Drosophila melanogaster: one gene and its partners. The protein of the gene in region 1 interacts with the protein of each later gene in a pairwise test. Each region holds a gene or a part of one and is shown in the gene's direction. Other genes may lie near its edges.

Region 1 (7,573 bases):
AGGGCTTCTTTTAGAAGTCCCAAGCGGTTGCCAAACACAACCGAAAATTTGAATGATTTTCCTCGTGCTTTTTGCTTTTTGATTAACATTAATGAGCGACAAAAAGTGCAAAAATTTACATGGCAACGGCGGCATCTCTGCCCCCATTGTTGTCCTGGTCTTTAGAAAATTTTCAATTCACCGCGACAGGAGCTTGTCAGGAGTGTGTGGAAGCCTCATCCACCTCGTCAACCTATCCATCCCCAACAATAACGATTTAGGCATTAGAGCTCCATTGAAATCTTTTTCGTTGCGATTGTTGAGCTTCATTCTGCAGGCTTAGGGCCTTGAAGACGGGCTCAACAAGATGGCAAATCCCCCATCTGGCTGTTCTCATCACAATATTCTCTATCTAAGTTGCAGTCGGTGCATTGTCAGCGCTTTTTGTCTAACTACTCATTAACATTTATTTGCAAGTGCAGAGAATGCTATGGCAAATGCAAAAGCAACTGCCATGATAAATATGACAAACAGACAATGGCCAGATAGACAAACAGAAAACAGAAACTGACAATGGAAAAATGCACTGCGAAAAAAGGGGGTAAGGTGATGAAAGGGATAGAGAATGGTCGACATGGTAGTAGAAAAACAGAAATTTGTATTCGCCCCAACGGAGTGTTCACTGTTCAGGTTATTATACCTTTAGATATATTGTAGCTTAACATGAATATTATAACGAATTTTTTAGATTTTTACGAAGGGAACTTTAAAAAAAGGTGTATTTTATCATACTTTAACGAAAAACTAATTATCCATTTAACTTGAATATCTGACAAACCCCATTCAATAGCTAGCACAGCCATTTTAGGCATTCAGGTGAGTGCAGTGTATAATTACAATGGCTGACTAACTGAGGAAGCGAGACAGACAGAGCGAAAGAGAAGGGGACATAGCCAAAGACAATGGACACAACCAGTACATAGAGTGCGACAGGGAGCGGTAGAAGACGAGAGAGCGAGAGGGGAAAACCAGGTCCAAATAAATGGAACAGTTGCAGTCCATCCATCTATCCATCCAGCAAGCCCTTCGTCACTCACTCAGTTCGTCAAGTTGGGGCTGGAAAAATGTGCGCCATTGTTTCCAACTTGCAATTGTTTGCTGACAATTGGCAAAAAGGCAGCAAGTACTCCTCTTTTCTCAGACTTTTCCACTATCTCCCATGTAGGAAAGGCTTAGGTCATTAGAGTCAAATTAAATTAGAGTGCTAGTAGGTAGTTTCATCTTATAGCAGGTACACACTGTTTGCATTTGTCATTAGTTCGTTGTTAATTAAAACGAAGCCAAAGTGCCAGACGACAGAACTCGACACGACAGAGTGAATGGAAATCAAAATGCGCTAAAAACCGCCCTGAAACAATGGCAACACCTGCGTAATGCCCTGGCCCACCCAAAACCCTTTACACAAAAAGTCCTGGAACAAAGCCCGACCAAATGCGAATGGAGTTGGGACTCCGGAGTTACGAGCCGTTGTCCTGGCAACGCCACCACCACCAAAGCAAATTAACAAAACAATAATGTAGACACGAAAAATTGCAAAGCAATAGTAGGCACTTTGCAGGACTATATACTCCTAAAGTCCAGGTGTCATCATGCACAGATATAAAAAAATTAATTTTGGAAATGGTATTTCATGTGGGTCAAAACACTCAATCGTTAATTGTCATTCCAGTACAGAACGTGTTTTTTAGATCAAAATGTAGTACTATGTGCGAATCTACAACAGACACTACTTTAATCTTTGTCTGAGCCAAAGATAAAGTGTCCCAAAGTGGTCTGTCTGGACCAATTTTGGACTATGGCCACCTTGGTTAACATATCCACCATTTTGAGCTTGGGAATTGGCCAAAGGCGAATCGTAGTTGCGGGCCAGATGTCAGGCTCAGATCTCCACGGTTCAGCTCGATTCAAAAATAAATGTCCATTAAGATTAGTTGATTTTGCTTTCGATAGTTTGTTTTTCACCTTTTTTTTATTTTTTGGACGCTCTTTGCTGGTCTCTAAGCAAATGCGGTAAATAATCGAGAAACTCCCGAAAAGCTCACTCCCAATGGTGGCACCTCTTACCAGTAAAGAGACCGTCGTAGACCCCCACTTTACCCCCATTTTCCACTTGGCATTTCATGTAACACGAAACCTTCCCCAACCAGAAGCATTCCAATTGGAAACGCCCATCATGAGACTCGTTGTTTAGAGTGAAATGGCTATGGTGGCTTAGTAGCTACTCCGTTTATCTCGCTCGCACTCCCACGCAACACCTGCTCTGGTTGACCGCCCTGCCTCTGCATTCTGCATCCCTTTCTGTCTGACATTTTTTATCTCTGTTGCTCTCGTCTTTTTTTTCCTGACGTCGCAGTTCTTGGATTTTTTTTTATTCTTTCCTTCACGAAATGTCACCTGGTCGTTGGGCCTCTCTCTCACCAATACAACGATATTTTTGCTCTCAATTTTGAATTTGTTGTGGATGTAGTTTCTTTATAAACAGGCTTATAAAAAACATTTAACAAACCAATAAGAAAGAAAGCTCTCGGAAAAAGTATTAATCCAGAGCGAGAGAGAACACAAGCTTTTGCAGAGAGGATTTGCTGAGTATGTGTGTGTGTGCTTCTGTGGAGCGATACTGTTACATAGCAGCTGTCTCACCGCCCCACCTGCCACGCCCCCCGCCCCATTCGGTGACTGAAAGACTCGTTTTTTGGCTCGTGTGTTTTTGAAGAGAGCGCGCGCCAAGTTTTTAGTTACGCGTCGGAACGGATCCGTTGAATAGCCGCCAAAGCGCGCTTAGATGCAGCAACAGCCAACTTGGCCAAGAAGAGCCGATCAGCCAACAGCTAGCGACGGTTTTAGCCCCCTCACAAGAAACGCCAAGAAACAACCGATATTCGCAAAAAAAAAATACAAAGGATAATACTAAAAACATAAACAAACTGTTCTCGGTAAATATCCCAAAGTAAAAGTGAATCCTAAACAAACCAAACTTTTCTTTCCCATTTAACTAAATAATAAAACACAAACCAATTCAAAAAACAGTGCTCATATGATATCAACTTTCAACGCTCGTAAAGTGCTCATAGAAATGAAACAAAATACAAATCCAAATAAAGCAAAGCGATTTAAAAGTCTCATAAAGTTTTGAAATCCTAAGCTACTTATTTATCTTGCAAACTTCAAATCAAACAAGCTCCATTCTTTGTAGCATCAAAACATTGGATGCACCATAAGTATCTTATCGATGAATGGAAAGCAAACAACACACGTCAACATAAACTAGTGATATCCATTGGAAAAGTGTTCGTCAAACAGATTCTGTTACGAAACAGCTCAAGACCATAAAAGTCAACAAATTCAACATTTTATGGCAGTTCGGAAAGTGGAATTCATAAGCGACAAAAACAAACCATAAACACATATTATCCAAATAATTCGGTAGTATATTCCGCATATATGCTGCCATCGAATATTTGATTCCAATCGCCGGAAAACGGGAAATTTAAAGGAAATGCAGAACTCTTCGAGGTAACTTCATTGAAGCCAAAACATTATGGATTCTTTAGTTAGTTGTTTAACTTAGCTGCTTTGATTTTAATTAGCAAAACTACATATAAACACATTTACTTACATTTTTTTAGTAAAAGTAAAATATGATCTATGATAAAGTCTGATCCCATAGAACTGAGCATAAGTCTTAAAATTGTTTTCCAAGTTAATTGAAATTACTTCAAGTCAGAAAGCAGGTAAAAAATCAATTAAAAATCCCTTTAACCCTTTACAAATTTCATTTAATTCACCGCCGTTCAGAACGCAATTTGAACAACTTTTCTTGACCATCAATTAGGTAAACACGGAGAGAGCTCCACATAATGAGTCTGAGTGCGTCAGATACAAGGGGAATCAACAGATTTTATTGTTTGGATAATTTCAGGATTTTCCTCTTTTCATTTTCTGCGAAATCATTGTCGGAATCTTTATGCCCCACTCGAGGTGTGTTTACTTTTGCTTTCGATCTTCCACTTGAATTAAAGCAAGCTCGTTTTCTTTCTCTGAGGGGCATTCAAAGTTGTTTGGTTAACTTAATTTCGAAATATAAATGAAAACCGACTCAAGGTATGTGAAAAGCCGCAATGAAAAGAGAGTCAAAAGCACCAGAGAATTTGAAATGACGCAATTAGAGCAAATAATAGTAAAAGAAATAGGGAAAAACAACGTATGTTTATTAATATATTTACACAAAATGTGACAACAATTGAATTTAATGTGACGCGCCCCCATCATATAGAAATCGACTTTGGACCAGCACACAAAAAACCCAATTGTGCAAACAGAGTTTTCTGAAATTATTTTGCGCACCAGATGTCAATCGAATATTTTTACGCCATTCTTTTGGCCATTGTGTTCGCTTTATAAATTTGCTCAAAAAAACAGGCATAATCCAAAGAAGAGTATGAAAAAATTCTAATTAATACCCGGCTGTATCAGCACACATATGGTTAGCTGACTTTGTATCGGTTCTTTTTCTTTTCGATAGCCCTTTGGATAGCCCTTGGCACAAACTTGACACTAAACCTTGGAGGAGCAGGGTATGTGGTTATCGAGACACTGGCACGTTTACGAGGCGATTGTTGCGAGTGTGAAAGTTCTTAATTACAAACATTAGGGGGCCCAGCGACTTAGGGCCCTGAGAAGATCCGATCGCAGCGGGCGGGCAAGACGACACTTTTGAATGGAGGGTCTGCTGGGACCGAAAACCCGGTGCGTATCCGCGATACATTTCAACACAAAGTGGAGACACTTAAAGCTCTACCTGTGTTGAAGACGAGGTGGAAGACTGCAGACCGCGAGACTCCTCTTCGCCGCTAAAGAATGAGCAGAAGAATATGGCTGGGGGAGAGATCTCGGGCTCAGCATGTGGCTAAGCCGATCATAATTCTTGTTTGACATACCAACAAACGGATGAACAAATGAACGCGAAGCAGCAACAACACGGCCAACTTGGTCGGGGGTTACGAGTGGATCTATATGGCCCCCGAAACTCAAGTGGCCAGCGGGTTAATTTTACTCCTACTGCGATACGATACGAAGTCCGAAACAGAAGAACGGCTTCAGCACTCGATTTCCATGAGAAAGAGTCGGACATAAGGTGCCTCTGGTGGGTTATCTATTAAGGCTACTAGATTAACACCCTGAGAAGACCCACGCTTTTGGGTTTAACGGTTACATTTCCGTTACAAATAAATATCGGAGCTGCATTTCGGTCTGCGTGGAGGTGCAGCGAATCAAAAGGAGGAGCTGGCATATTCACAGCAAATAAAAATATCTGGAGTGCAATTTGTGCACAGCTGGTGGTGCAACCGTCGATTCGGATGGTGGCCCTGTGGTGCAACTGATACTGCAACTGCGACACTGCACCACATCGGAACAAGTGTTATGTCCACATAGTCATTTTCGGTTTTATTGCCATTTCAATTACTAGAATAATCACAAAATTAAATTAGTTCGAAAATAAAAATCCAAACATAAATGCAACTTCATATCAATTGATATATGCGTAGTGTTTTCAAAATATGAAATTTAGCGTATACCTTGAGTGGAGGCACAAATAAACATAATCAATTCATTTTTCTCAGTGTATTCTGCCAATTCGCAACATAAAAAGGAGGAGCAAAAATATGGAGAGCAACTTGACAACACAGAAATTTGTTTGCACTCCATAAGGATTACAAATATGCGTGTCCCTTTGCTAACCGCTCCCCGTTCCCAGCTCCCCCTTTTCTTTTAATATAAATTTCATGCTTAATACGCATGCTTGGGCAATTTTTACTTTAACACCAAGTGGTAATGCCCGGAAGCAGTACAGATGTCGCCTCGCATAGCCCAACGCAAGTTATTGACCACGATGCGTTGCATGGCCAGAAATGCCAATGAACAGGGCCAAAAAGAGAGACTGCGGAATATGGCAGCAGAGAAAAAACAGTCGAATTGGACAGATAAAGATAAATAGTTTCGAACCACAGTTGGCCACTTCATAAACCCAAGGATATTCCAAAATTATTGAGTACACGTAACGATCCAGAAATAGTTTTATGTTTTAGATTTATGAGTCTCAACAACTTTTTAGTAGCTTTTTATCTACTATAGGCTGTAAATCCTAAAAAATTATATTTTCTAAATAATTTAATAAGTCTTTAGCTTTAATAAAAGCAAGCAACTAATAGTTTATCTTGTACAAGCCCTATTATACATATACATTTTGCAATACGTACAATATGGGATCGCACTTACCTCCTTAAGTAAACAAAGAATGCTAAATGTATGCTACTTAAATAATTTCTTGGTGATTATTTTAAGAAGCTTAGCTATTTATAAAACAGATGATTTAAACATAAAGATCAAGAAATGTGTCAACGGCATTGTTTCTTTTGAAAATATTACCACGTTTTAGTGATACAAAATATTTGAATTATCCCAACTGAAAACAACAACCACTTTATTTATCTTTTAATAAGAACGCTTAAGTGTCCTCCCTAATTAAAATGATTAGCAATGATCATGATTATTCAGATGTAATACTGATAAACTTTAACTAGAAAGTGAATTAACCTGATAAGTTTTTACATGAATTTTAAAGGAATCCAATTCAATTCATACTGCAAGCAGTCCACTTTAATTAGCTGACTAGCCACTCAGATATAATTATATTATGAATTATTCCCGTTTGCGTTCGCCAACAACTCGCAGTCGTTTCCCTCCCCTACGCCTTGTGACCCCTCAATGCTCATTGGGGCATTGTTAATCAATTAACTAATTGATTTCAGCTCTTAAAAGTATGTCGTCTGAGGCCCATTCTTCGGGGACAAAAAGAAAACAATGCCGAGTGGAGTCGTGGACTTTTGGGCCAAAAAACCCACTTGCGAGCCGCGCTGGCGGTTGCCACCTCAACTCGTCCAGAATCGGACTCACTCCTTTTCAGCGCCCATTGTGTGGGCCAAATGTCAACCCTTAAAACCGACCGGGATGCACAATAACACAACAACAAATGAGACGACTACGACGACGTCGTCGTCCATCCTTTCCATTATGCGACGGGGCACTTGAAACCCATTTCTTTCCCATTTTACATTTTTGTGTACTCTATTTGCACCCGAGCCGCTTGTTTTGGACACGCTGGAATGAGCTGGTCATGTGGCGGTTCATGGGCTTCAATTATGGGTCCTTTCGATCCCACATGTGCGTGCATTATAAGCGGGATTTACGTGGTCCACTTGATGCCCCAGCTCCTTCCGCAGAACGTGTTAAATACGGCAAGGCAAGGGGAACGGGGAAAAGGGTCAAGAAGCCAGCGTCCGGCTAAACGCTTTCAATTTGTTTAATGGTCCCTTTCGGATTCGCATTCGGGCTCGGATTTCCTCGTCCTCCTCATCAGGATCTCGAGGACAATCGAGTGCGGGTGTGCCAGGGACATATGCCTCAACTGAGTGCGAATCCCCATTCTACATGCACATATATGGCCTGCTATTTGGCTGGCATTATCCTCGGTAAA
Region 2 (5,786 bases), on another chromosome or scaffold:
ACACACACGCGTCTCCCAAAAGGAAAACAACAAAAACAATAAAGTGCTATCGCCAATCGGCTTAGACACGGCCTATCGATAGTGAGTGTTCGATAACCGTTTGATGCTGTGGACAGCCCATGTGGAAAGTGTCATCGCTAAGTAGCCAGCTGTTTGTGAAATGTTTGTTTTTCAAGCAAAATTAAGCATTTTTAAGAGAAATTAAACAGTTTTACAGTTAAATAAATTGAACATTTAAGATGCCCAAGGTTCGCCGCAGTCGCAAACCACCGCCAGACGGTTGGGAGCTGATCGAACCAACTCTCGAGGAACTGGAGCAAAAAATGCGCGAAGGTAAGGACAAGCGTGGCGGCTTCTGTGATAATGAAAACTTTACTATAATCCTATACGTATATTATTAACCTTCTTAAACAGCCGAAACGGAACCGCACGAGGGCAAACGCATTACGGAATCCCTTTGGCCCATTTTCAAGATCCACCACCAGAAGACACGATACATCTACGATCTATTCTATCGCCGGAAAGCCATCAGCCGGGAATTGTACGACTACTGTCTGAAGGAGAAGATTGCCGATGGCAATCTGATTGCCAAGTGGAAGAAGTCTGGATACGAGAACCTATGCTGCCTGCGCTGCATTCAAACGAGGGACACCAATTTCGGCACGAACTGCATATGCCGGGTGCCCAAATGCAAACTGGAAGAGGGTCGGATCGTTGAGTGTGTCCACTGCGGTTGTCGCGGCTGCTCCGGTTAGATTCCATGTGGACGCATTATTGGCATCTTTATTCGACACAAATAATCCTCATAATACATAGTTCAGTAGGTTCAACTTTAGATTTCGCCTGATTTCTTCATAGTATGTAAATACATTTAAATACAAGCCACAATTATGGTTAATGGCATGCTAAACATCTAAATAGATGCTGCAATAAACCGATTATGTAAACGACAAGGCATCGTTGGGAAATGCGTTCCGATTTGTTTAAAAAAAAATGTAGAAATGGTATGAGCAGACATTTTTGTATTAGAATGTATAGAAAAGATAGAAATTAACTTGTAGTTTAATCAAATAAATAAAGATTATAATTTATGAAAATGTTTAAAAGCATTTAATAAATTAAATTTCCTACATATGTCGAAGTGGAGTTTTGAATATTAACTTAAATATATTCCTTTTTTTATAATCTAGCCATCTCAATATGTGAGTTGTGAAAATTTCTGTAGTAAAATATGCAATTTACGTACGTCCTTCTAATGATTTCACAGCTTTTCTTTAAACGATATATACTATACATACATATATTTTAATTTAATGCCTTGGACAATTTATTGCTGCGCTGACATAATTCAAACTCAATGTCGTTTTCGGGGATGTGGCGGAGTCTCCTTCATGTGCGTCCATTTATCGTCGCCTTGCTCCTCGATTTTCAGTACTCTTTCTAAGGGTATAGTGTTTCTTTATTGTCCGAAAATGGAAGCCCTAGTTCAACATTTGAGTATATAGAAATAAGAGTATATACATATTTCCTTGAGTCATCCAATTCAGCTAGAGTATTCCGGCCATCGGCATTCCCAACTTATTCTCAAGCTGAAAACTGTCAGGCTTCAAGTGTTCCTGCGGGGTTTGGTTTGGTTTTGGGTGGCCAATTGGGATTTGGTCGAAAATGATTATAAATGGTTTTTTAATTATACTTGTCTGCATATTTTCTCATTTGCCAAACAAACGCGGCGCTGTCGATTTTATTGTTCACATGGCAAATGGTTAATGCCGAATGGAAAATGGTAAAATGCGAAAAATGGAAAAATTATTGCCCGTCTGCCGCTGACAGCTTGCCCCCATCTGGCTGAAATGGGGGATTTCGAATTAAAACTGCTTTCGGTCACTAAAAATACTCAATTGTTTTGCCAATTACCCAGCGGAGTTATTTATGCCAGTTATGTAATTCGAGTGGCACACATGTGCAGCGTTGTAAATTGAAATACATGAAAATGGAGCAAGTGGAAAGTATATTTTGGGTACTTGCAGTGTTATAACATTTTACTGCTTTTTGTTCAACAATTAATTGGTTATTTAATTAGCATAAGTTGCTGCTTGCGTCATATTGTTCTATAATATTGCTAGTTAAATATTACATTACATCAGCCAGAGATAGCAACTATTTATGGATTTTGAGTTTGGTCCACCAAACTCTATTACATATTATTCTCAGCCAAAGGGATTTCTGGTTTAACCCTTTGAGGCCTGCTAAGCAGGTCGCTGAACCCCTCATCGTTTCGAGGGCTGTTAAATTAATTAATAGACTAAATGCGGTCGGTTCGGCTGGTTAATCCCACGACAACAAGCCGCAACTTGTTTGCCACCACGTCGAAAGTGGCTCCTTGAAATGGCTACCTGATGCGGGAAACCCACTTCCAGATGGGTTGATCCGGAATGGACAAATAGCAACTTTAGCAGGTAGCAATGGCAATCGATATTGGTGTCTCTTATCGCATAATGCCGCCTGATCCCACCCGCTTGACATGCTCGTATTTGCCCAAGCAGGTTGATTTTCCACATAGCCCAACATTTGTTGACTCATTTCGGCTGCTAGATAAGGCGCGAATCGGCAAATGGATGGTGATAGACGAACAGCCCAGCTTGACCTTGGGATTATTGTGGATTTAATGACGCCCTTATCAGTTGCATTGAATCGTATCTCTTGGCTTAGAATATCTTTTATATTATGGGGAGTATTTGCATACCGACATACATATGTATGTAGGTAGCCATTGAAGAAACCCACATATTGGTTCGCACCTGATCCTTTTGTTTTTAAATTTGACCAATTATCAGGTAGACTCAGTGCGTCTGCTACCCTAATCCCTTTGTTTACATATCTGCGATTCGTTGGCCAATCCGGATGCAGGTAGGCGGTGTCCAGCAAGGCGACAAGATTGAGGAAAACAAGATCATAAATCCCAGTGACCGCCATTCATGAAGGTAGAACCCGCGAATAACCCATCCAGTGTCCAATGGCAAGCTACCTGCGGAAATGGTATAAAACGGGGCTGACATATTGCCTAAGGCAGCATTAGCACACGAAATCTCGACGAGAGCAGTCACAGACCACGTCACACATCGAAAAAAATCACCATGGAACGGAGTCATCTTTACTTGCCCACTCTGAGCTACGCGGCCATGGGTCACGTATACGCACCGTATCGCGGAAGCAGTTCACCCGCACTATCGACAGCATCGTCAACATCATCGAAGCCGGAGCAGATCGAGGAGCTGGTGTCCCAGCAGCTGCATCATCTCAAAATGCACTACGCCGACGAGGAGCAACGCTACGTAGACCAGATGCTCCTGGAGAATCCCATTGTTGTGGAGCGCCGTGCACCGCCGCCGCTGAAAACGGAGCTTGCTATGGATTGCCGCGGATCGGGTTCCGGATCAGGTTCCGGTTCTGGTTCGGATGTCAAGGATGCCCAGCGTCAGAGGGCCGAGTCGTGCCGCAAATCCCGCTACAACAACAAGATCAAGAAGGCCAAGCTGCGCTTCCGGCACAAATTCGTCAGCGGGCAGCTGAAGAAGAGCGCCGTCATGTTGGACACGATGCGGGATGTGATTGCCCAGGCGGAGAGGCAGCTGCTCGAGCGGGGATATCCCGCCGCCACACTCGAGCGGATGCGGGCCACTTTCGGCCTGGAAATGGAGCAGTGATATCATAGTGTAGCTATGTGTCGCAGGAACGGATCCCTGACTAGTCCAGCATTAGCCATACCACTTTTTTTTTTTGTTGACTATATCTAGTATTTATCTAAGCATATTATTAAATTTTTAAATAAAATTAAGAATCATATTGAAAACGAATGCTTTCTTATTCAAATATTTGTTATAGGTTCACACGATCATATGGAGTCAAGGATAACTTGTTAATTTCACTTTACAAGAATTTCCCATAATTTGGATGCATTTATTCTGCATTTAACGCATCGGCAGTCTTGGGGTTTCCTTCGCCTGGCCGAAGGTAATCCCATCGGAATTGGGCCAATGCAATGCACCCATTTCGACTTGCTTAAGTTCAGTTCATTTGATCCGACATGATTGCACTTCGCTTTCCCCGTTTCACGTTTTTCCCCCTTTCCATTCTTTTTTTCCCTTTTTTTTTTTGGCTTGCGAACAATTTGCGTTGCCAAAAGCAGCAAATGCAATGGAAGTAATGGCCTTAAGAGCAGGTTTCTGTAAGAGATTGTGGCTAAATTTAGTGGGGCTACTACTGCAAATAGCACCCCACTTTCTGGTTGGTGTTTTCATTTAAGAACTGCGAACTGAACTTGGAAGCTTTACTAAATGCTTGCCAAGGGTATATACTATGTATATATATATACAATATAATTTTAATAACTACATATATTTTTTAAGTAATTTCTCATAATATCTTGATGTCTGCGTAATGAGAAGGATAAATATAGATACTTCTGATTGTTTTTTACCCCAAAAAGTTATTCTATTTCACGCCGTATCTTTTCAACTCTTTAGGTATCAGTTAGTCGTTACTACTGTTCACAGATATTTTTTAATAGCACAACATTAAGAATGAATGGAGGAGCAAATAATAGGAATGTAAAAACGAGAGTATAAAACGCATTTCGCCACAATGGCCAATCGAATTTCAAGCTGATGCTCGCTCAAAAATTTCATTTTCACGTGCCAGGTTACAAATGATTTCATCGCTGCAGTTTTCCTCCGGCTAAATCCCCACTATCCCCCCATTTCCCTGGATTTTCCAACTTTCTGTTGCTGCTTCTTAACTACGCACGTCTCACTCTTATTCGTTCACTCAAGTGCACACAATTCAGCGATTCAACGTCATCAGTGCGGGGAAAGGTACTTCGTGTACCTAACTGTGGTACAGCATTAATTTTGTTACCTAAAGGCGATATTATGAGCTACAAATATATGTATATTAAATGAAATTAAAAAAAAGACTTTTCTACTTTAAAATACGGAAAACTTTTGAAATAATTTTCAATATTTGAGTACAGTTATTAATGTGCTGTCCACCACTGTTTGTCATAATACTAAATGGTTGAAACTTTGCACCCACTTCACCCATCTCTTTCTTCCCGCACAACGCTCTCTCTTTCACTCCCTCTTGTAAAGTGCCGGAAAAGAACTTCAATTTGATTTTATCGCTCGGCCATAAAAGCTCAGCTCGTTTGTGTTGAATGCAGTCGAAGAATTTCAGAAATGAAAAGAAAACCGGGAGTGATGAAGGCCATCCAGATGCTATGGTAAAAATGGGTAGTATTACCAGAAGTAGATGGCGCTGCAAAACAGATCAGTATATCGTTTTCTGTAAGAAAGTATCTAAAGACGAGTATCTGAAGGAAAGTATTTGAAGGAAAGTATCTGAAGGAACGAATCTGAAGGAACGTATCTGAAGGAAAGTGTTTGAAGGAAAGTATCTAAAGGAATGTATACAAAGGAAAGTATCCAAAGGAATGTAACTGAAGTAAAGTATCTTTATCACGCAATCACACATAAAAGTAAAATTGCTTCACAAATAGTTAAAATATTGCTGCCTACTTTTCAGCTGATTAATGAAAAAGTACCTAATATCTAAATCCTTTTTCCAGACTTCCTCTCACATTACATAGGTATTCACATGAAACTACCAGTTGGCGAACAGCACTGATGGGTTACTGGAGAGCCGGACCGAGTACTGGTCAAGGATGCGTCCCACCGCCCCACCGCCCCTTTGTCCATTGTCTGGTGGACGCACCTGGCACAAAGACGATA
Region 3 (8,015 bases), on another chromosome or scaffold:
TTTATACGAATATAAAATATAAAACTGTTCTAATTTTAACCAAGTATTCTTGAAATATTCTCTTAATGCCTATTGCATTTTTCCCAGTGCATAGTTTTGGGGCTGCGGGAATTTCAAGGAGAAATCAGACATTTTTATGACATTTCCCTGACTACTGTTTATTCGCTTTCTCCACGCCGCCCGCCCTTTCTTATTTTTCTCGAGCACTTTTCCGACATTTTAAACATTTCTTTTTCGCCGCTGGCACTTGGCCCTTGTCAGATTTTCCCTGCGCTGCATCGTGTCGTTTGTGTATTTTTTATGATTGTCAAGGATTAGATATAAATGTTTTATGATCTTGGCCCGCTACCGCGGTGCTGGACCAGAAATTGTGTTTTAATATGATTTTACGGCTTTGTGGTAACTCGAAATACGTCCAGCTTGATTGGCTCCGATATGTCGTGCCTGAAATTCCAAATGATCCGATCCTTCGGTCTGATGCACCCTTTTCTGGGCTATTCTCTCCAAATGGGATTTGGGCTCCTCTGGAATTCGTTTTCCTGGAAAACGCCAGGCTCATCACTGTACAGTTGTTTGATGTTCTTAGGGCTGACACGCCCCCCTGCCCCCGAAAACGTCGGTCAGTTGCTACCAAGTCAAATTTTCCCATTCCCTACAAGAAAAACGCGTGAAAATGTGGCCACAAAATTCGATGCCGATCCATCATAATTTCTTGGGTCGCGTGGATTTACAAGCGCCCAAATTATCGGCAGATCGTTTTGGGTAAAATATGAAAATAACGCAGAGCTGTGAAATCGATCGATGGTATTCTTGGAAAAGCAGTTAGCGATGGCGCTTGTCCCTCAATCGAGTTGCCAGAAATTAATTACATTTAAACGCTTCGCTCCCCCATCGAGTTTTCCCCGAGTTTGTGCCAATAACACAAAGTATATATATTGGAAAAACCGAGAAAATGGGTCTGAAAACACACTCGATTCAAATGAATCCAAAACGCACACTCTAAACGCCAACTCATCATCATTAAAGTCAATTTTTCTCGTCTTCTGTTGCCTTGTTTTGTTGCTACTCAACAATTTCTGGCCATCGAATCGAACAAAGGAAAATTTGCCACGTTTTCCATTGTTTTCCCAGCGAGATAAACAGAAAAAAAAACAAAATCGACGAAAAGACAAAAAGTGAAACTGCTGTTTTTTTTTTTCTCCATCCAATTTTCAGCTGAACTGGCATCGGGAATTGGACTGGCATACTGTAGATTTATTTTCTGGATGGAGGGAGGTTCGAATAGGTGAAATTGCATCACGCTGTGCCTCGGTTTCTGTGGAATTGTTTGCAGGCTGAAAATTGTTGATTTTGACACCTTTCGGGCTGCTGCATTGTGTTCCTCTTTATTTCCATCTAATAAATGCATTTGTGCCCTTTGTTGGCTGCATTTTTTACGGTTTTCATTCCTTTTTGCGAACTCTGGCGGGGGGTCATCAACTGCCGAGTCCTCCAGTTGGCCACTTGACTGCCGCTGGTCCTGCGGCCAGAGGATATCTTTATTCGCTCATTAGCAGCACGATTGTGCTGGCTGCAGGTCCTTCGAGTCCTGGAGCTCCTGCGGTGAGGTACTCAGCTCAGTGGGCGTGTGAAATTACCGAAAATACAAGGTAAATTGCGTTTTCTTTCAACTCAATTATGCTTGATTCGTCGAAATGTTGGCCGTCTGATTGCAAGGATTCTTCTAACCACAATTGATTAAATAGATATCAGAGTATTACTTCTAAATATTTATTTAATTTAATATTTTTGATATTTATATTTAATATTTATCATTTCGACCAATACTTTTTTTACTTATAATGAAGCTTTCACAAAATCAAAACTAAAGCTCAGATGCCGAGTTTCAAATCGAATTAGCTACACACACGTTTTGCAGATTAGACCGCAAATGAAACCGACTCAGCTAAAAATCGCTGAACTTTCGACAGCATTTCGCCTTGTAATCAAAATCCATTAGTCAACATAATTACGCTTTAATGGACTCGAAAGTTGTTTATGCCTTGCGTCGATTCGAACCGAAAGCTATGGGTAAATATGCGTGGCTTAATTAGCGGCCATAAAAATTTGATAGATTTTAATCTATCGCACAAGCTGTTGTTGTGCTCTCGCCGATTCCTAGCCCATTAATCTCAGAAATCCGGCGACGAATTTGACGGCTCCGGCTGATAACAGAGTGTGAAAATAGCACTACCGAATATTATTCCATTGTTTTTGAAAAACTCTTGGGGTTTGATAGGAAATGTTATAGTGTTGACCGAGGAAACGAAGTGAGACATTTGGCACGTCCCGACAATTGATGAACCTGCTCTGATTTTGATTTGGAACTGCGATTCGGACACTACATAAATTATGCAAACTTTGTCGTGTGCCAAAAAAAAAATGTAATGCCTGAAAATTAACATTTAAATCGTAGCGAAAAATAAACCCGGTAGCACATTTCATAAAACTGTCCCGATCAAGTTTCGTAGATGATTTATGGAAACAGCAAGTTTGAAGTGCATCCGTGGTGTGGAATTGCTAATGTGGACTGGATTGTCAGCTGTACGAAAACCGGGACGTTTTAAAATAGGGAAAGTTAATATATAATATCATAAATTAAATAAGTATTTTAAATTATAAATTTTACGCCATGTTGTTGAATGGGGTTTACGAACTTTAAAAACACCATTAACAAAATACTTATATTCCTTAATCTTTAGTTTTATGCAGAAATATATAAAGAGCGTCTAACAAATCCTTGCTAAACTATAAATTTGCACAACAAAAATCCCCCTGAGCAAGGGAAATATTTAAAACGCACATCCTCTGTAAGCCTCGAAAACCCTTTTCGAACTTCCTGCAAATTTGGCCAGAGTCCGCAAACAGAGACATTTTGCCCACCTGGCATTAGATTTCCATTTAGCGCTCGTTCCGGCCCAGAAATGCAACCGCAAAAACAAGAACTATGAATGGCAGTTTAAGCCAAATTACACAAAGGCCAAGAGCAACAACAAAGTCGTATAGTGGTGGCTGTTTGAACGGAAGCCATATGCAGAAAATTCGGTAAAGGCAGCGCACCGAACTGGACCCGCCCCTCGAAAAGCAGCCATTTCACTCGCTCCTTCGCAGCTAGGCCATATCTGCAGGGTAGATAAAATCCACAAGGCGCGCGCAAAGAAGACGGCCATACTACACCGAGCACAGTGCCTCCCGCTCTGGCCCGATAAACTGGTTTGGCCTGTACTGGCGAAGAGAGAAGACTCGCCGCAGCTCAGCTCTCTTCGAGTAGCGCACACTTGGTGGTGTTGCCGGGCTTACCGGATTTATTCAGACATCGAACGTCGTCGAGAGCACACGTCTATATTCTCCGTCTTCCGACACAAAAAATAAGAAAAACGAGCGCGTCGATCGCCGTAGAGCACAAGTCTTGACAACCCGAGTGTGTGTGTGATTAATAAAGTAACTAAACGTATATATGAAAGCGTTTCCAATGCGTCGCTTAGTGTGAGAAAATCAACGAAACATAGAGAGTTACAAATAAGGACTTCCCAGAGGATTAGACAAACAGAACAGATTAGATTAAACAGAAAACCGTGCTTAAACCCTCGAAAAAAAAGCCGCCAACATAGCCGAACTAACCGCCGTATTTATGACTAAGATGATTCCGCCGGTTCCCACCGCCGCTGCAGCCGTCATGATGCCCACACCAAAGCAGAAGATCGGTTTCAGCATCGAGTCCATTGTGGGCAATGATGTCAGCACCGCCGGCGGCAATTCGACGCCCGATCTATCCGGTCCCCAGAGTCCGCCGCCCGGCGAGCGCAATGTGCCCGGTTCGCCGCCCCAAACGCCACCAGCCACACTCACCTTGATCCCAGGCTCGCCCCCGCACCATCTGATGGCTCCTCCTGCCCACGGACTGCCCTATCCGCATCCGCATGCTCAGCAGCAGCATTTGCAGGCACCACATCCGCATCCGCATCTATCGCCTGCGCAGCAACATGTGCTCCACCAGCACCTCCTCATGCAGCAGCAACATCCGGGCACACCCAAGAGCCACCAGGACATTCAGGAGCTGCTGCAGAGGCTGCACCACAATGCCGCCATGGCCAGCGGCCTGAGTCCGCTGCAGACACGCCTCTCCCCCGAAACGGAGCAGCCCCAGATGGCCGTCTCCCTCAAGCGGGAACGCTCACCTGCACCACCTGCCATGGAGCAGGCCGAGAATCCCGCCCAGCGCATCCAGCCACCGCACACGCCTCCCAAATCCGTGAGCCCCCAGTCCTCGCAGCCCTCGTCTTCGCCCACTCTGCTGATCAGCAGTCCACATGCCACACCGCCACAGCAGCAACAGCAGCAGCCGCCCCCGAATTATCCAAAGCCCGCCATGATGCATCCCGGAGGAGCTGGACCCATGATGATGCCGGGCATGCCGCCCGCTGGACTCGTTCGCCCCTTTCCCATGGGACCCGGAGGACCACCGATGCCGCAGGGTCAGCCCGGCTTGCCGGACATCAAGGCGCTGCCGCCCTACATCAACGCTCCGCCGGAGCTGCCGCCTCAGCACAATCCGCATCTCATTGCCGCTGCCCAGTTCCAGATGGCCGCCGCCCTGCAAGCGGGTCATGTGCTTGGTCCAGCGGCCGCCGCCGCTGCTGCCGCCGGCCTGCCGCCCCATGCCGCCCAGTTTATGCCCAATCCAGGCATGGCCAGGGATAGCTATCAGCTGTACCCCTGGCTGCTCAGCCGCCATGGAAGGATCTTCCCACACCGATTCCCTGGAAGTAAGTATCTTTTGGAATGATTCTTTATATGCGAAACAAAAAAAGGAGATTTAGGGAAAAAAATAGTTCTTGGAGTCCAAATTGAAGCCAAAAAATGAGAAATTTCTTTAAAGTAATAATTCTAAACCTTCATAAATGTAATAAGAAATGAAAGATGCTAATATGTTTTAAATTAGTTTTGATGAGTCTCTTATAATTGCATTATATTGTCATTGCTAATTTATTGCTGTGAGTTATGATCTTAAATACCGATGACTAACCGAAACCCTTTCTTCTTTGCCTCTTTCAAGGTTTCCTGGTGCCCCCGTTCCGCAAACCGAAACGCATCCGCACCGCCTTCTCGCCGTCGCAGCTGCTGAAGCTGGAGCACGCCTTTGAGAGCAACCAGTACGTAGTGGGGGCAGAGAGAAAGGCCCTGGCCCAAAACCTCAATCTGTCCGAGACGCAGGTGAAGGTGTGGTTCCAGAACCGACGCACCAAGCACAAGCGGATGCAGCAGGAGGATGAGAAGGGCGGCGAGGGAGGATCGCAGCGGAATATGCACAACGGCAGCGGCGACGAGGACGACGACGAACTGATCGACATGGAGATGGACGAGTGTCCCAGCGATGAGGAGCACGAGCTGGACGCCAGCCACTGAGAGAAGCGGCCAGGAGATAGTCCTGCGGCGGTCCGTGAGTTCCTTATCCTGGCGAATGCAGTCCAGTTCCAGTTATCGAGGGTTCCCAGTCGAATCTCGGCGAGAGTAACATAGTTTGTTTTGTTGTGATATATTCTTAGAGCGATCCCAAGGCGTTAGGCTAAGTGTATATAGATAGGAAAGTATTAGAGACCCTTTCTCTCCATCCACACTTCTCTCTCAAGATCCGTGCCAAATCCTTGCGAAGTTTCGAGGTTGAGTAGAGCTCAAAGAATGCAAGTTGTTTCCTTTCTTTCCCAAATATCAAATGCAAAAAAAGAAACACTGAAAAAATAAACCTAGGCTAGACACCACCAACTATAACTGTACAAATTTTATGACTTAAGCCTGTAAATATTCATGACATTACTTTTAATTAGTGAATTCTTCAAAACAAATCGTACTCGATCCACTAGCTATTGTATAATTCTTGTATATTGTATGACGATCTAGCATTTATTTATGTTTAGTCTTAAGCACGAACCTCTAGAGTCCCTCAACTGCAGCTGGATATTATTTAAAGCCGTCTAATATAAAGCCCTAGTTGCTAGTAACTACATCCTAAGCTAATACGATTGTAAGAAACACAAACGAATATGATCATATAAAATATAAAATATTCATTATGAAAAGAAATCGAAAGAGAAATGTTTGATTGATTTATGTGTTGGGGGCAACCACTTATTATCCAGAATACTAGATAATTTATTTATAATTTAAACAATATTGGTATGTTTTGAGTTATGGGTGTGAACTTTAACTTCTCATTCAGCTTTATTACTTTCCTTCAACAATATTTTACTTTAGTTTATTTTTTCTTGTTTAAGCCTTGGCATCTCCGCCCCTTTTTAATTGAGTTCGTCCCACTGTGTGACAGAGTAAAAAATTATGCGCCGTCAATTAATTAGCGTGTGACATTTAACATTGTTGTTGCTGTTTCTGTCCACTGGAAATGGTGACAGGTGCGCTGGAAAAGGGGATTGAGGGGGTGCGGCCGCGACTGAAAAGAGCGGGATAGCTGAAGGAGGCGGCTATAAAATGCATTTAGCGATCGTTATTTCTTATAGATTTCATAAGCATTTTAATTGCACAATTTAAAATGCAAATCGTGTTTTATTGTAGAATTTAATTGAGCGCAGTTCGTGTGAGATCAAAGGGGCGGGGGTGGATGCTGAACGGGGGCTTTTGGGGGTTGGGGTGGCTTTGGAAACTGGTTAACAAGCCACTCGAGGTGTGCTAATGATCTAAAAGCCAAATTTATGATTATTGAACCACAAATTTATGCGAAAACTGTGGCGGTATATAAGCGCAGTTTTCATTATCGCCAAATCGGCTATCAGCTAACTGAAATCGGCTATCGAATGTGGCCTAATGAATATGCAGTGGCTAATTGCAATGGGCAAACTGCAAACTAGATTGGTCCGGCTGATATGGCTAATTAACGGACATAACGAGTCTAATTACTAGCTGTTAACAGCACTAAATTGTGGCACTCTGTCAAAGGTCCCCCCCCTTCAGTATTGAAATCAGGGGGGGTTTTTGGGGGAACCTATCTATTGCAAACACAAAGCTTACAATTGCAATAGTCGTAAATCAGAGTGGGCAAATTATATGTTTCATCGGTGATCGAAATCGCGGCTTTAGCCATAAACCTTTCAGCTAATGGCAAGTCTTGTTTGCTTAGCAAACACGCACCTTTGATGGAAACTTCGAGATTCCAATTCAAGATTCAAGATACACGGCCCATCGCGAGCGGGAACTGTAATTAATAATGGGGCTGGGGCACGCCCCCTGCATATGGGATTGGGGGCTTATCTGCTGGCCTCCTTTATCCAATATCACTCTTCAAATGTTTCTGTAGAACAAAACACACACTGGCGCAAAGGGACGGAGAGAAAACGAAAGCCGAAATCGGAATGAAATCCCTTGCTGATAATTCTCGGAAATTAAAACACAATTTGGTAAGTTGTTGGCTGTTGATGATGTTATACATATATCGAGCATACATATGTTTGTACAACTTGTTTTGCCTCGTGGCTTCGCTTTTGTTGTTGTTGATTTTCGAATGCCTCAAAAGGTTTGTTATGCGGCGCGCCCCAAAAAAAGAGATATAGTAATAATAATGCCAACAACAACGCCGCATTCACTTTATGGCCAGCACCACGCACCACAACTGGCTGCCCGTTGTTATTGTTACTTATCCCATAAAGTTTATTAAGTAATCCAATTTGGCTAAATTAGCTGTGTCTCGTCTCGAAGTTATTTCGGATTTTAATTGAGTTGCGGCTTGAGTTTGAGTTTCTCTTTGCCTACCCTCCCATCTCCATTCATTGCTCATTATTGCCTGTTGGATTTCACCGATCGCTGATCGATCGCCGGCATAATGCAAATTGTCAAGCCAAGATCGAGACCCCAACCCCAACCAGAACCCCTTGGCCCCTTAATGGCCATCCTTTGGAGTGCAGGGCTCAAGATCGGGACGTGCCATATCTCGGTGTTCTGTTTAATGTGTGTTTCCTGGAAGATTAATA
Region 4 (10,650 bases), on another chromosome or scaffold:
AAGCAGACAGCGTCTGAAATCCGAGTTAGTTCAATCCGGCACTGCTCTTAGATCATACGCATACTTATAAGTTGCGTACATAAAAAGTGAAAAGTTTTTAAATTAAGTCATCATATTGCTTTCCAATACAATTTGGCTATTTGCTTATTAATAATTCAGAGTGATAATTGACCATATATTATTAACACACACTTAGTGAAAATTTATGTATTTCAAATTATCGAAATAACTTGCCATTCCAGTCCAGTTCTAGATATTTCATATGACTAATGGATATACGGATATACCCAGCTATATTTCCCAGAATTTATAATATGATACATTTTGGCTAATGGTCAAACTTTCATCCTAAGAACAGTCGAAGTTTGAACGTCCACATATTGACATGGTCGAAGTATCTGTTTGCTTTCTTATACAAGGGTTTCTACTGTCGCTGTCATTTGGGCGTGGTACGAATAATTAATAATAGTGTTGAAATAATTTGCTTTTCAGTCATCATTATCATTATCATAATCATTTTAAGAGTTCAATGAAGTTCAAAATGTGCGTGGCAAGAAACACAAAGTCGCACAAATAGCCATTTTTTTTATATTCTGTACACGTATGTATTTCACGGATCATATTTTGTTCAGTTCAGTTGCAGGTTTACAATTCATGGAAAAAGTGTGATGTCAATGAGGACTGTACACACCTTAAAGCATGCCCACCCTTGAAATACTTTCTGCAATCGGCGGATATAAGTTGGGCCAGAGAAGCAATATTGCGGGACAAACAATGTGGTTATAATAGCTACTGCTGCCGAAAAGAAGGTAAATGGCTGACCAAATCGAAGTCTTTTGCCATTATTTTCTAATTTCGAACTTTACCAGGCTATGAAAGAAGATCCAATGAACAATGCGTCATGCTCAATGACTGTCCCCAGTTTAATGGCCGGAAATGGACGAGTGATATTTTGAAATCCATAATAAATAAAATATGTTATATCGATCACTTCCAGCCATTGGTACGAAGAAGGGTCTACGTAAACTGTCAAAGACAAGGTAATGCTTTTCGTATAATACCCGATCTATCGATTACTAATTCTTAGCCCTTACAGAGATTTTTCCTTGCCAATACGATGAGATATGTAGAAGCCGCGATAGCTGCCCTTTTCTAAAGCTTAAACGGAAAAAGGCCCAGAACATATTAATGAGCAGGCAATGCGGCATTAATACCTACTGCTGTCCTAAGCAGGGTAAGTGCAAAACAAAAGTCTATCATTTAACCACTTACTAATCGAAATAGTTATAGAATTTCCAGATTGTCCAGCCGATGAAAAATGCATAAGATTGGACAAGTGTCTTCGTATCCATAATACTACGATGGAAGATGGGGCCAATTTAATGGATAACAGACAGTGTGCCATCGATACCAGAAGAATAGATTCGGATAAGCGCCACTACATCTGCTGCCCGGAACCAGGTAACGTTCTACCAACGTCCTGTGGACAAGCTCCGCCTCTTTATCGAATGGCATATGGCACAGCGGCGAGGCCAAATGAATATCCTTGGATGGCCATGCTTATCTACGAGAATCGCAGACTATCGACCATGACCAACAACTGTAGTGGCTCCCTGATTAACAAACGCTACGTCCTCACCGCTGCACACTGTGTGGTCAAGGATAAAATGGTGAACACAGATTTGGTGCTCAGGAGAGTGCGGCTGGGCGAGCATGATATTACCACCAATCCGGATTGCGACTTTACAGGAAACTGCGCTGCCCCCTTTGTAGAGATCGGCATCGAGTATTTCAATGTCCACGAACAATATTTCAACACCTCAAGGTTTGAAAGCGATATCGCCTTGGTGCGTCTTCAAACGCCAGTTCGGTGAGTATTGCAATATAAGGCATCATTTTCTGACTATTATGAACCAAAGTTTTTATTTCCTTAGATATACCCACGAAATTCTACCGATTTGTGTGCCGAAAGATCCCATCCCCTTGCATAATCACCCATTGCAAATCGCCGGTTGGGGCTACACGAAAAACAGAGAATATAGTCAGGTGTTGTTGCATAACACCGTTTATGAAAACAGATATTATTGCCAAGACAAGATATCGTTCTTCCGCAACGAATCACAAATCTGTGCTTCTGGCATTCGAGGAGAAGACTCCTGTGAGGGTGATTCCGGAGGTCCCTTGATGTTAACCCTTAATAATGATTACCAGGATATCGTATATCTGGCCGGTATCGTTTCATATGGAAGTGAGAATTGCGGAGATAGAAAACCAGGTGTTTACACAAAGACTGGAGCATTTTTCTCATGGATAAAGGCAAATTTGAAGCCATAACTTTCTTGCTAAGGAATCTCGACTAGTGTATGGTGTTTGTTAATATGTGAATGCATTTTGTTTGTATGAGTGAATGTGTTTTTTTTGTGGATTATGGAATTATGGAAAATTCAATCAAGTAGCCAGTAAAATCAAATATGCACATAAGAATGAGTTTTAATATGTATTTTATTTATTTGATTAAATTAATAACACAATAAATCGAATTTACTTAATGATTTTGATTTTTTAAACGTTCTTTTCTGAGTTACATTTGTGCGTTGACAGTACACTGCCCGAAAACAAAGGCCGATAATGATTAAATTTACAATTGGGATTATCGTGTGGCACAACAAATAGTCTTTGCCACCAAAATACCATCAGACCGAATCAAAACAAAGCATCCATCAAAGTACGGCAAGATGGAAAATGTGAGGAGAAAATACGAAATGGAAAAAGACGAGAAGGGAAAAGTGGAAAAATGAAGATGGAAAGTGCTCGAGCAAACCACGGTCCTAAGACAAAAGATTTACAATATCGCTGGGGAAGATTTAAAGGTGATTTCCAAAGATATATATTGTGCCTGAGCAGCGATAAATAAACACAATTCTTTGACTATTTTTATTTCGGCCTCTCCTATTTTATTTATTTTTTTGCTCAATTTCTCGCTTTTTTCTCGGCCGTTGCAACTATAACTCAATAGAAAAGTGGCTGCCATTGATGGGATCTGTGGACGGGGGGCCGGATTTTCCACTAAATGTGTCACATTAACGAATTGTTGAGCTCCCCGAAAGCTAATTTATGCCACCACCTCCCCCACCAACCCACACTAATCGCTGGCCAGGTAAAATTCAATTTATTTGATTTGAACTAAGCCTTTCACAAACACGCTTCACATTGAGCGGAAAATCGCGTTGAAAACTCACGAAAATTAAAAAAAAAAGGGGAGGGGCGTGGCCTGCGGCAGCGTCCTTCTGCCTTAGAGAACCGCCAATGTCGTCTAATGGCGGGGCGCCTCTAAAAATAGGAACCACTCGAGAGCCACTCAGCCACTCAAAACGCAGCAGCATCCGCACTCCGAGAGGATCGCGAGCACATCTGGGGGCCCACGATATCTTGGATTCTTGGATATTGTCACCAAATGTGTTGCGATTGCGACGGAAGGCGGTACACACACTCGCGTACGGTCCGCAAATCGAAGTCGAAAAATATTTTTGAAAATGTCGGAGGTTTTTACAAAGCATCATTAAAGTGTAACCAACTAATTAAGGTTCTATTTTAAAAATCCCGAAAGTGAAACTATAACAAATTAAATTAAATAGAAACCACAGCCTAAAACTTGTGTGTAACCATAACTCATAAATTTGTGTTAATGACCTAGCATACCTAGAAAAAGAGCTTAAACCACGTTAAAAATGGTAATAATCAACTGACTAAATTAACTGTGCCATCGTAATTAGTATCAGCAATTAAATTCAGCAACTTGTTGAACTACCAAAATTGTTTTGTAAAATATAACAAAATCGTAGTGAAGTGAAAAATGACCAAGTATAATAGTGGCAGCAGTGAAATGCCTGCGGCTCAAACCATCAAGCAGGAGTACCACAATGGCTATGGTCAGCCGACACATCCTGGATACGGATTTAGCGCCTATAGCCAACAGAATCCGATAGCCCATCCCGGCCAGAATCCACACCAGACACTGCAGAATTTCTTTAGCCGCTTCAATGCCGTCGGTGATGCGAGTGCGGGAAATGGTGGAGCGGCTTCCATCTCAGCCAACGGATCGGGTTCGTCTTGCAACTACAGTCATGCGAATCATAATCCGGTTGAGCTGGACAAGCCATTGGGCATGAATATGACACCGTCGCCCATCTACACCACCGACTACGATGACGAGAACAGCAGTCTCAGCTCCGAGGAGCACGTCCTGGCGCCCCTCGTCTGCTCCTCCGCCCAATCCTCCAGACCATGCCTCACCTGGGCCTGCAAGGCGTGCAAAAAGAAGAGCGTCACCGTGGACCGTCGGAAAGCGGCCACTATGAGGGAACGCCGGAGACTGCGAAAGGTAGGCATCCCATGCTCACATTACACACATTTTCAGATTTATCAAATATTAAAAACATATTGTGCAATAACTACTGATACAAATACAGCACTTTCATCTTTCAATCATTCATTAAAAGAATGGTTCACTTTAAAAGTAGATTTTTGATTCATTCAATTCATTATTATAATAATAACTTAAAACTGCTTATGGGGACTTGAATATAGGCATACCACTCAGAACTCTGTTCAAGAGTCCTTTTCCATCAGCAGGCTTATTAATCCTCGGTCGATCTTAAAAATAGATTACGCCACAGTTCGCAAGTCCCCTGCGTTTAAGGACTGCAACTTTGTAGTAATTTCATTAGCTCGGCTAGCACCCCACAAATTAACACATCGCCACCAGGGAGGATCGGATCCATTGACATAACGCGCAGAAAGGGAAACCACCCAACATGCGTAAAACATAAACATTTGCCAAGACCAAGAGTTAAACAGCGGCATTTATGAGTTCGACGGTCGTAAAAGTTTTGGATGAACCACACGTATTTATAGCTCCACATAGAGACATTAGTGAAAGGCGGAAAATCGTGGGAGCTCCGGTTAGAAGGGGTATGGTGATGGGGGGCTGTCATAAAGAGACAGACGACGGGCGAACGGCTTAATTGTTGAAAATTTTATGCTCTATTTAATTTAAAATATGTTTTATTAAAGAGCCACTTAAAAGGGGAACACGCCGCGTGTTCTGTGTTTTTATGGCACGCCTAATGGATTTCCATGATTTCAACGATGGCCATTAATTGATTATTATTCCGTTCACATTCTAGGTTAACGAGGCCTTCGAGATCCTCAAGCGACGCACTTCATCCAATCCCAACCAGCGCCTGCCGAAGGTTGAGATATTGCGCAATGCCATCGAGTATATCGAGAGCCTGGAGGATCTGCTACAGGTAAATGAGTGAACTCATCTCACCGCGAATAGAGAATACCATTGGTTAAATTGATTATCTTAGGAATCCAGTACCACACGCGATGGCGACAACCTGGCGCCCAGTTTGAGCGGCAAAAGCTGCCAGTCCGATTATCTGGTAAGTTTTGTCCACTAACCGCCAATTAATATTAAGCCCACAATATCGGCGCGTATATCGTTCCGCAATTATTTTCTCGTAAAATTCTCATGCATGAGCAGCGCTTTCGTACATTTTTCTTTGGCGACGCGCACATTCATCAAAATCTCAGGGTCTGGTCCGTCGCAATGGCGAACATGAAAATAGAATATGTATACGGACGGATCCCCGAAAGAGTCAGTCCCCAAACTGTATCTGATATCTGTTGTATCTGCTGACCGGAATTTATGCGCTCGCTGACGTGCTACTTAATAAGCTACGCCGGCAGCCCATCATCCACATTTCTGAATCACATTCACTCGAAAACCGGGAATATTATGAGTTATGATCGAGAAAGTTTGCCCAGATGTGAGGGGAGCAAACTTTTATCAAAGGAACGGGGGAAAAAAAATTTAGAGGAAAAATAGCTGGAGAATTTAGGAGAATTTACAGGGGAAAGGGTCGTTGTCTGCATTTAGTGAAAGGCAATAAATAAATTTTCTTTTTATAAGCCCGAATGGAAATCGTGTTGTAAATTAATTACAACAAATTCGTTGGAGCAGGAATCGGCACCAGAATCTTCATCCCCATGTTTGGTGGATTGCGACGATCGCTTTTCTGTTTCATAATAGCTTCCCTGCGACGTGGAACCAAAACCGTTGTGGCAGTTGACAAATTGCACAGGAAAAACATGACAAGATCTCGGGGTGTTCTTCTTCGAAAGGTGTTGCAAGATATGGCCAAGTCGTTGGTCATTGAAGGGAAATGAAAATGAATGAAAAATGGGGGGGGGGGGACGGGAGCGGGTTGTACATGCATATCTACTCCCGAATGACAGGGCAACAAATTGTCAACAATTATGCAAACATTTTTGCCATCATCTTCAACGCCCTCTTTTCTTTTCATTTTCATTTGACTTTCGGGTTGGCCTGCGCTGAGTAATTTCCATGCAGTTTGTTTAAGTTTCTCACAATTTTAATGTACAAATTTGTTAATTTACCATAAAACTTAGCGTATTTGTATGTTGACTGCGCCCCCCATTGGCAGATATTAATGTGCGGCCATAGTTTGATTAAAAACTGGCATAGCGCCAAACGTGCAGACATTCAAATGCATCTCAGACCCTGGCAATCCATCCATCTCATCCATATCCATTCATTTGGAGCCCGTGTATTTATAAACCTCGGCGACTTAAGTAAAAGATTTCCTTTTGAACTGTTTCCAACACGAAATGCGAACGCTAAGTTGGCCCATAAATTTCCTTATCGCCGCCAATAAAGTGTAGTACTTGCGATATACAAAAGTGCCACCTTGTCTATATCAGTCAAATTTCTACGTAATGAAATACATAGCCGCAATCATTGAAGTCTTAAGATAGAGCTTTTCGGTGCAAATGACTCACGGAAAGATGTGGGTAACGTGGGTGCAAACCATCCATTTGGACAGTGAGTCAGGATTGATCGGATTCCCTACCATTCAGTTTTTAAACTATTATCAGGTACAGATATGCTACCGAAAACTTTTGTTATCTTTGAATAGCTTTACAGCTACACTATTAGATATTTTCTACGAATGGAAAGCAGTTTATAAATGATATTGCAAATTATTGAGAAGAGATAATTGGTGTGATTTTTATGGTCTAACCACCACTGATAATCTTTATCACACGTCCCCGTTTCAAAAAGTAACTTTTTCAGTTTCCGAGAAAGATTGATTAAATAATTCCGAAAATAAACATCAACATTATTTGCATCTTATTAAAAATGTAAATACATATCTGGCAAGTAGTTCTTGCATTTTTTCGGTGATATTTCCGAAATGGATTATGAGATCTTACGACTGACCGCACAACTCGCAGAGAAGTGGCAATATTTTTAAAGTGGGTTTAGTATATTAAAAGCATATTTCATGGTAAAAACTCATGCAACTTATGGCTAACAAATCGCATAATGCCGCATATCCGTTACACGCTCACAGATCGGAGGAGAACATCTAAGGGGAACGCGCCAAAAAGCGGCTTAAAATCTTTACGCAACCGAAGAATCGGAATGCCCAAGTGATAAGTGGCATTTCATTCAGATACAACGCATGATATATGCTCAAAAAAAAAAAAATAAAATAAAATACACCGAAATACCATAAAGACCTGCAAACAAGTACACAGAAAGAAGTCGGGCATGTCTAAAAATATATTTCGAACATGCTTGTTAAATTGAGAATTTATTTCCAAAGAAATTTTTCAATATTCGGTATTATATTGTCATATAAATAGACTTTATTGCTTTTAACCCAGTTGTGCTATTTTTGTGTAATTTTTCCCAGTGTATCCGCTTGCTGACTGCGGCATATCGAGCGCAGGCTGTCACTAAACGCTTGAAAAAAATGATAAATCGCTTTATAAAAGTGCAGTGTGAGTTCATCTGCTCTCGTTCAGTTTAGTTCACTTCACTCGGCTTTGAATGCTATTCTGTTGTTTTATCACTCCGTACTTTGTTGTCCGCTAAATATAAACAGACGTACATACATATAAGCCATACGGGATGCCCTGTATTTGTCGATCCTTGCAGACGAAGTGACGGCACTTTGGATGCACCAGATGCGGATTTGGGGGGGGGGGGGGGGCAGCAAGGAAACCCACCCAGAAGTGGCAATTATAATTTGCTTAGCATCGGCGTTATAGCGAATTTTTCTAATGAAATCCCGACCGAATCTCCGGATGCCTTGTCTGTCGTCTGCGTATGCGCAAAATTAATTTAATTGCCTCTAAAGTGCACTGCACACAATGCCCCACAATGTTGGGGCAGACAATGGGTGTGGTGCGGTGGTTCAATGCGTTTTAATTGGCCTGTGGAATCTCTTTACTGGCATAAATTTTGGCTTAATCTCATCATTAGACTGCATTCTGTATGGCACTCGTTGGCCAAGTTGACAGGACCGGAGCAAATTTGACGTTGTCATTTCGACGGCGACACTTTTCTGTAATTTATTGTTTCCCCAATTTCGCTTGAGGCCAACTAAAAAAAAAATATATGATTTTTCCATTTGTATTTATTTATGTTTTTCCTTGCAGAGCTCCTATGCTGGCGCTTATCTAGAAGATAAACTTAGTTTTTACAACAAACATATGGAGAAATATGGTCAGTTTACAGGTAAAAGTAAAAAAAAAAAAGTATTTGATGTATTTATCTAAAATATTTTTGTATAGACTTTGATGGCAATGCCAATGGCTCCAGTTTGGACTGTCTAAATCTGATTGTTCAGAGCATCAATAAGAGCACCACGAGTCCCATTCAAAATAAGGCCACGCCCTCCGCTTCAGATACCCAATCGCCGCCCTCATCCGGAGCAACTGCACCCACTTCTCTGCACGTGAACTTCAAACGGAAGTGCAGCACTTAGCACTTAAGTATCAGCACCTTAGGCAATTGTAAAGCTATTTTTAAGAGGATACACGAGATACCCAGTGACCCGAATAGGCCTTAAATTATTTGTATAGCATTAGAACTTAATTAAATGGTAATTCAAAACAGCAACTAGAGTCGTCTTACTTAATCTAGCTCCAATTTGCGGAAGGAACCGCTCATCCCGTCCAGTTCTCCATTGGCCCAGGCACTGGCCAATCCGACGCGCAGTTTCTCATTAGTACCATACTGGGCATCCTTGGCCAGATAATCCTTGCTGTCCAGCAGCTTCTGGCGCCAATGATCCACTGCCTCTGCCTGATAGCCATTGGTGCCACCATACTCGATGGTCATCACATCTCTGGGCAGGTGCTGGTACAGATCCTCCGACTTTTTGTGGACCACGAACTGTGTAGAATATTGTAGAGATTAATTACCAATCCTAACGCAATTCAAGCTTTTTGATGATAGATTCACCTTGAAAGGCAGTTTGGAGGGCAAAAACTTCGTTACAAAATTGAATATGGTTTGTCCCTCCTTGCGCATATTGATCATATGAATCTCAACAAATCGCAGTGGTATGCATTGGTCCACCAGAGCAAATGCCTTCTTCAGCAGGAAGGGATCGTACTGCATCATCTGCTCCATGGTAACATCTCTGGCATCCACAACCCAGATCAAGCCGGAAATCGCGGCATTATCGCACTCCAAAGCCAATAGTTCCAACATTATGAAGATCAGTTTGAAGGCTTCGCGGGGATTCGATTTCTTGGGATCGATGTTTCGGAACTGCGAGATGATAACCCTTGGCCCCTCGGGACTCACAGGTCGCATGGGTATCACATGGATTCTGTTAATTCGAAATAGAAATTAAATAAAGTATCTTTACCTTCTTAACATAGGTCTTTCGTAACACGCAACTAATTTCCAGTCAGAAATTCACATAGATAGTGAATAAATTATTATTGATAATGTTTGTTACGTTTAACACCACTGATTAGAAAGCTGTATTCTGTATGGTTTTGTGAAATATTTAGCAGCCTAAGGCAAAAAGGGTATATAGCAAATGGAACATTCAACCCACCCGCGTTGCAACTGGGTGAGCAGGGCCTCGTCCACCTGTCGGGATCCCAGAACCTCCGGGAACACGCTGCGCAGGGAGTAGTAGTTGTCGAATCGCCGTTTGGTCTCCTCCTGGCTGAAACGGCAACGCCGCAGAAAGGCCAGGATAAGCTGCTCATCCGTGGGCGCCTTAAGGTGCGGCGACTTGGTGATCCATGTCTTAATGGTGGCAATAATCTCCGCTCGCTGCGCCTGCTCCTCGTTGCACTCACTTTTGGCCAGAGCCGCCAACTTTGGGTCGAGAGTTCTCAGGGTGTTCGCCATTCCGGCGCTCGGTTCATTAGTAACTGAATGCCAAAACCACTGACGCAGCGCCGTGGTAGTGATGGTATTGGCTTTTGCGGCGGCATCGCTTATCTAATCGGGGCAACACCTTGTAAACTAGCTGGAACGGCGAGCCGAAACCCGTCGGCAGTCAGTTAGATATAGATACACGAGTGCATAGATAGTTGATAAGTGGGTGTTATCTTTAATTGATCGACTACAGCAGAGTTTGGAATGTTTATATGGATAAACGCTATTGTGGGAGGGAGGGTCTAGGTTTCCTGCTTCCGTGCTGGTATCAATCCCAATTGAGACGACGGAAGGAGCCATTGGCTCCAAATTCCGCCTCATATGTGGCTATTTCGCCGTGCCGCAGCTCCTCAATGGTCCCGTAGTTG

Evidence for each region.
Region 2: the proteins of Sox21b (region 1) and sisA interact in a two-hybrid assay, tested with the Drosophila melanogaster proteins (one large-scale study listed by BioGRID).
Region 3: the proteins of Sox21b (region 1) and ems interact in a two-hybrid assay, tested with the Drosophila melanogaster proteins (one large-scale study listed by BioGRID).
Region 4: the proteins of Sox21b (region 1) and nau interact in a two-hybrid assay, tested with the Drosophila melanogaster proteins (one large-scale study listed by BioGRID).

Annotation. Positions count from the first base shown.
Region 1 is NT_037436.4:14,126,537-14,134,109, reverse strand, and holds the start of Sox21b (Sox21b), read left to right. Parts: upstream 1-2,785; 5' UTR 2,786-2,972; exon of another isoform or gene 2,973-3,552; intron 3,553-7,573.
Region 2 is NC_004354.4:11,319,639-11,325,424, reverse strand, and holds sisA (sisterless A), read left to right. Parts: upstream 1-3,067; 5' UTR 3,068-3,134; coding exon 3,135-3,704; 3' UTR 3,705-3,846; downstream 3,847-5,786. Other genes in the region: l(1)10Bb (lethal (1) 10Bb), read left to right, coding at 240-333, 415-755. UniProt on the Drosophila melanogaster protein: Involved in sex determination and dosage compensation. Required for proper expression of Sxl in embryonic somatic cells. Also has an essential function in the yolk nuclei. Involved in endoderm migration and midgut formation.
Region 3 is NT_033777.3:13,898,509-13,906,523, forward strand, and holds ems (empty spiracles), read left to right. Parts: upstream 1-3,344; 5' UTR 3,345-3,670; coding exon 3,671-4,805; intron 4,806-5,095; coding exon 5,096-5,445; 3' UTR 5,446-6,112; downstream 6,113-8,015. UniProt on the Drosophila melanogaster protein: Acts as a homeotic selector gene controlling antennal and mandibular segment identity.
Region 4 is NT_033777.3:23,711,160-23,721,809, reverse strand, and holds nau (nautilus), read left to right. Parts: upstream 1-3,452; 5' UTR 3,453-3,853; coding exon 3,854-4,381; intron 4,382-5,186; coding exon 5,187-5,309; intron 5,310-5,372; coding exon 5,373-5,447; intron 5,448-8,496; exon of another isoform or gene 8,497-8,535; coding exon 8,536-8,614; exon of another isoform or gene 8,615-8,670; coding exon 8,671-8,864; 3' UTR 8,865-8,996; downstream 8,997-10,650. Other genes in the region: CG10232 (uncharacterized protein), read left to right, coding at 386-449, 633-809, 870-1,040, 1,097-1,234, 1,291-1,870, 1,935-2,334; CG10300 (uncharacterized protein), read right to left, coding at 9,014-9,274, 9,344-9,716, 9,951-10,252; CG10301 (uncharacterized protein), read right to left, coding at 10,551-10,650. UniProt on the Drosophila melanogaster protein: May play an important role in the early development of muscle.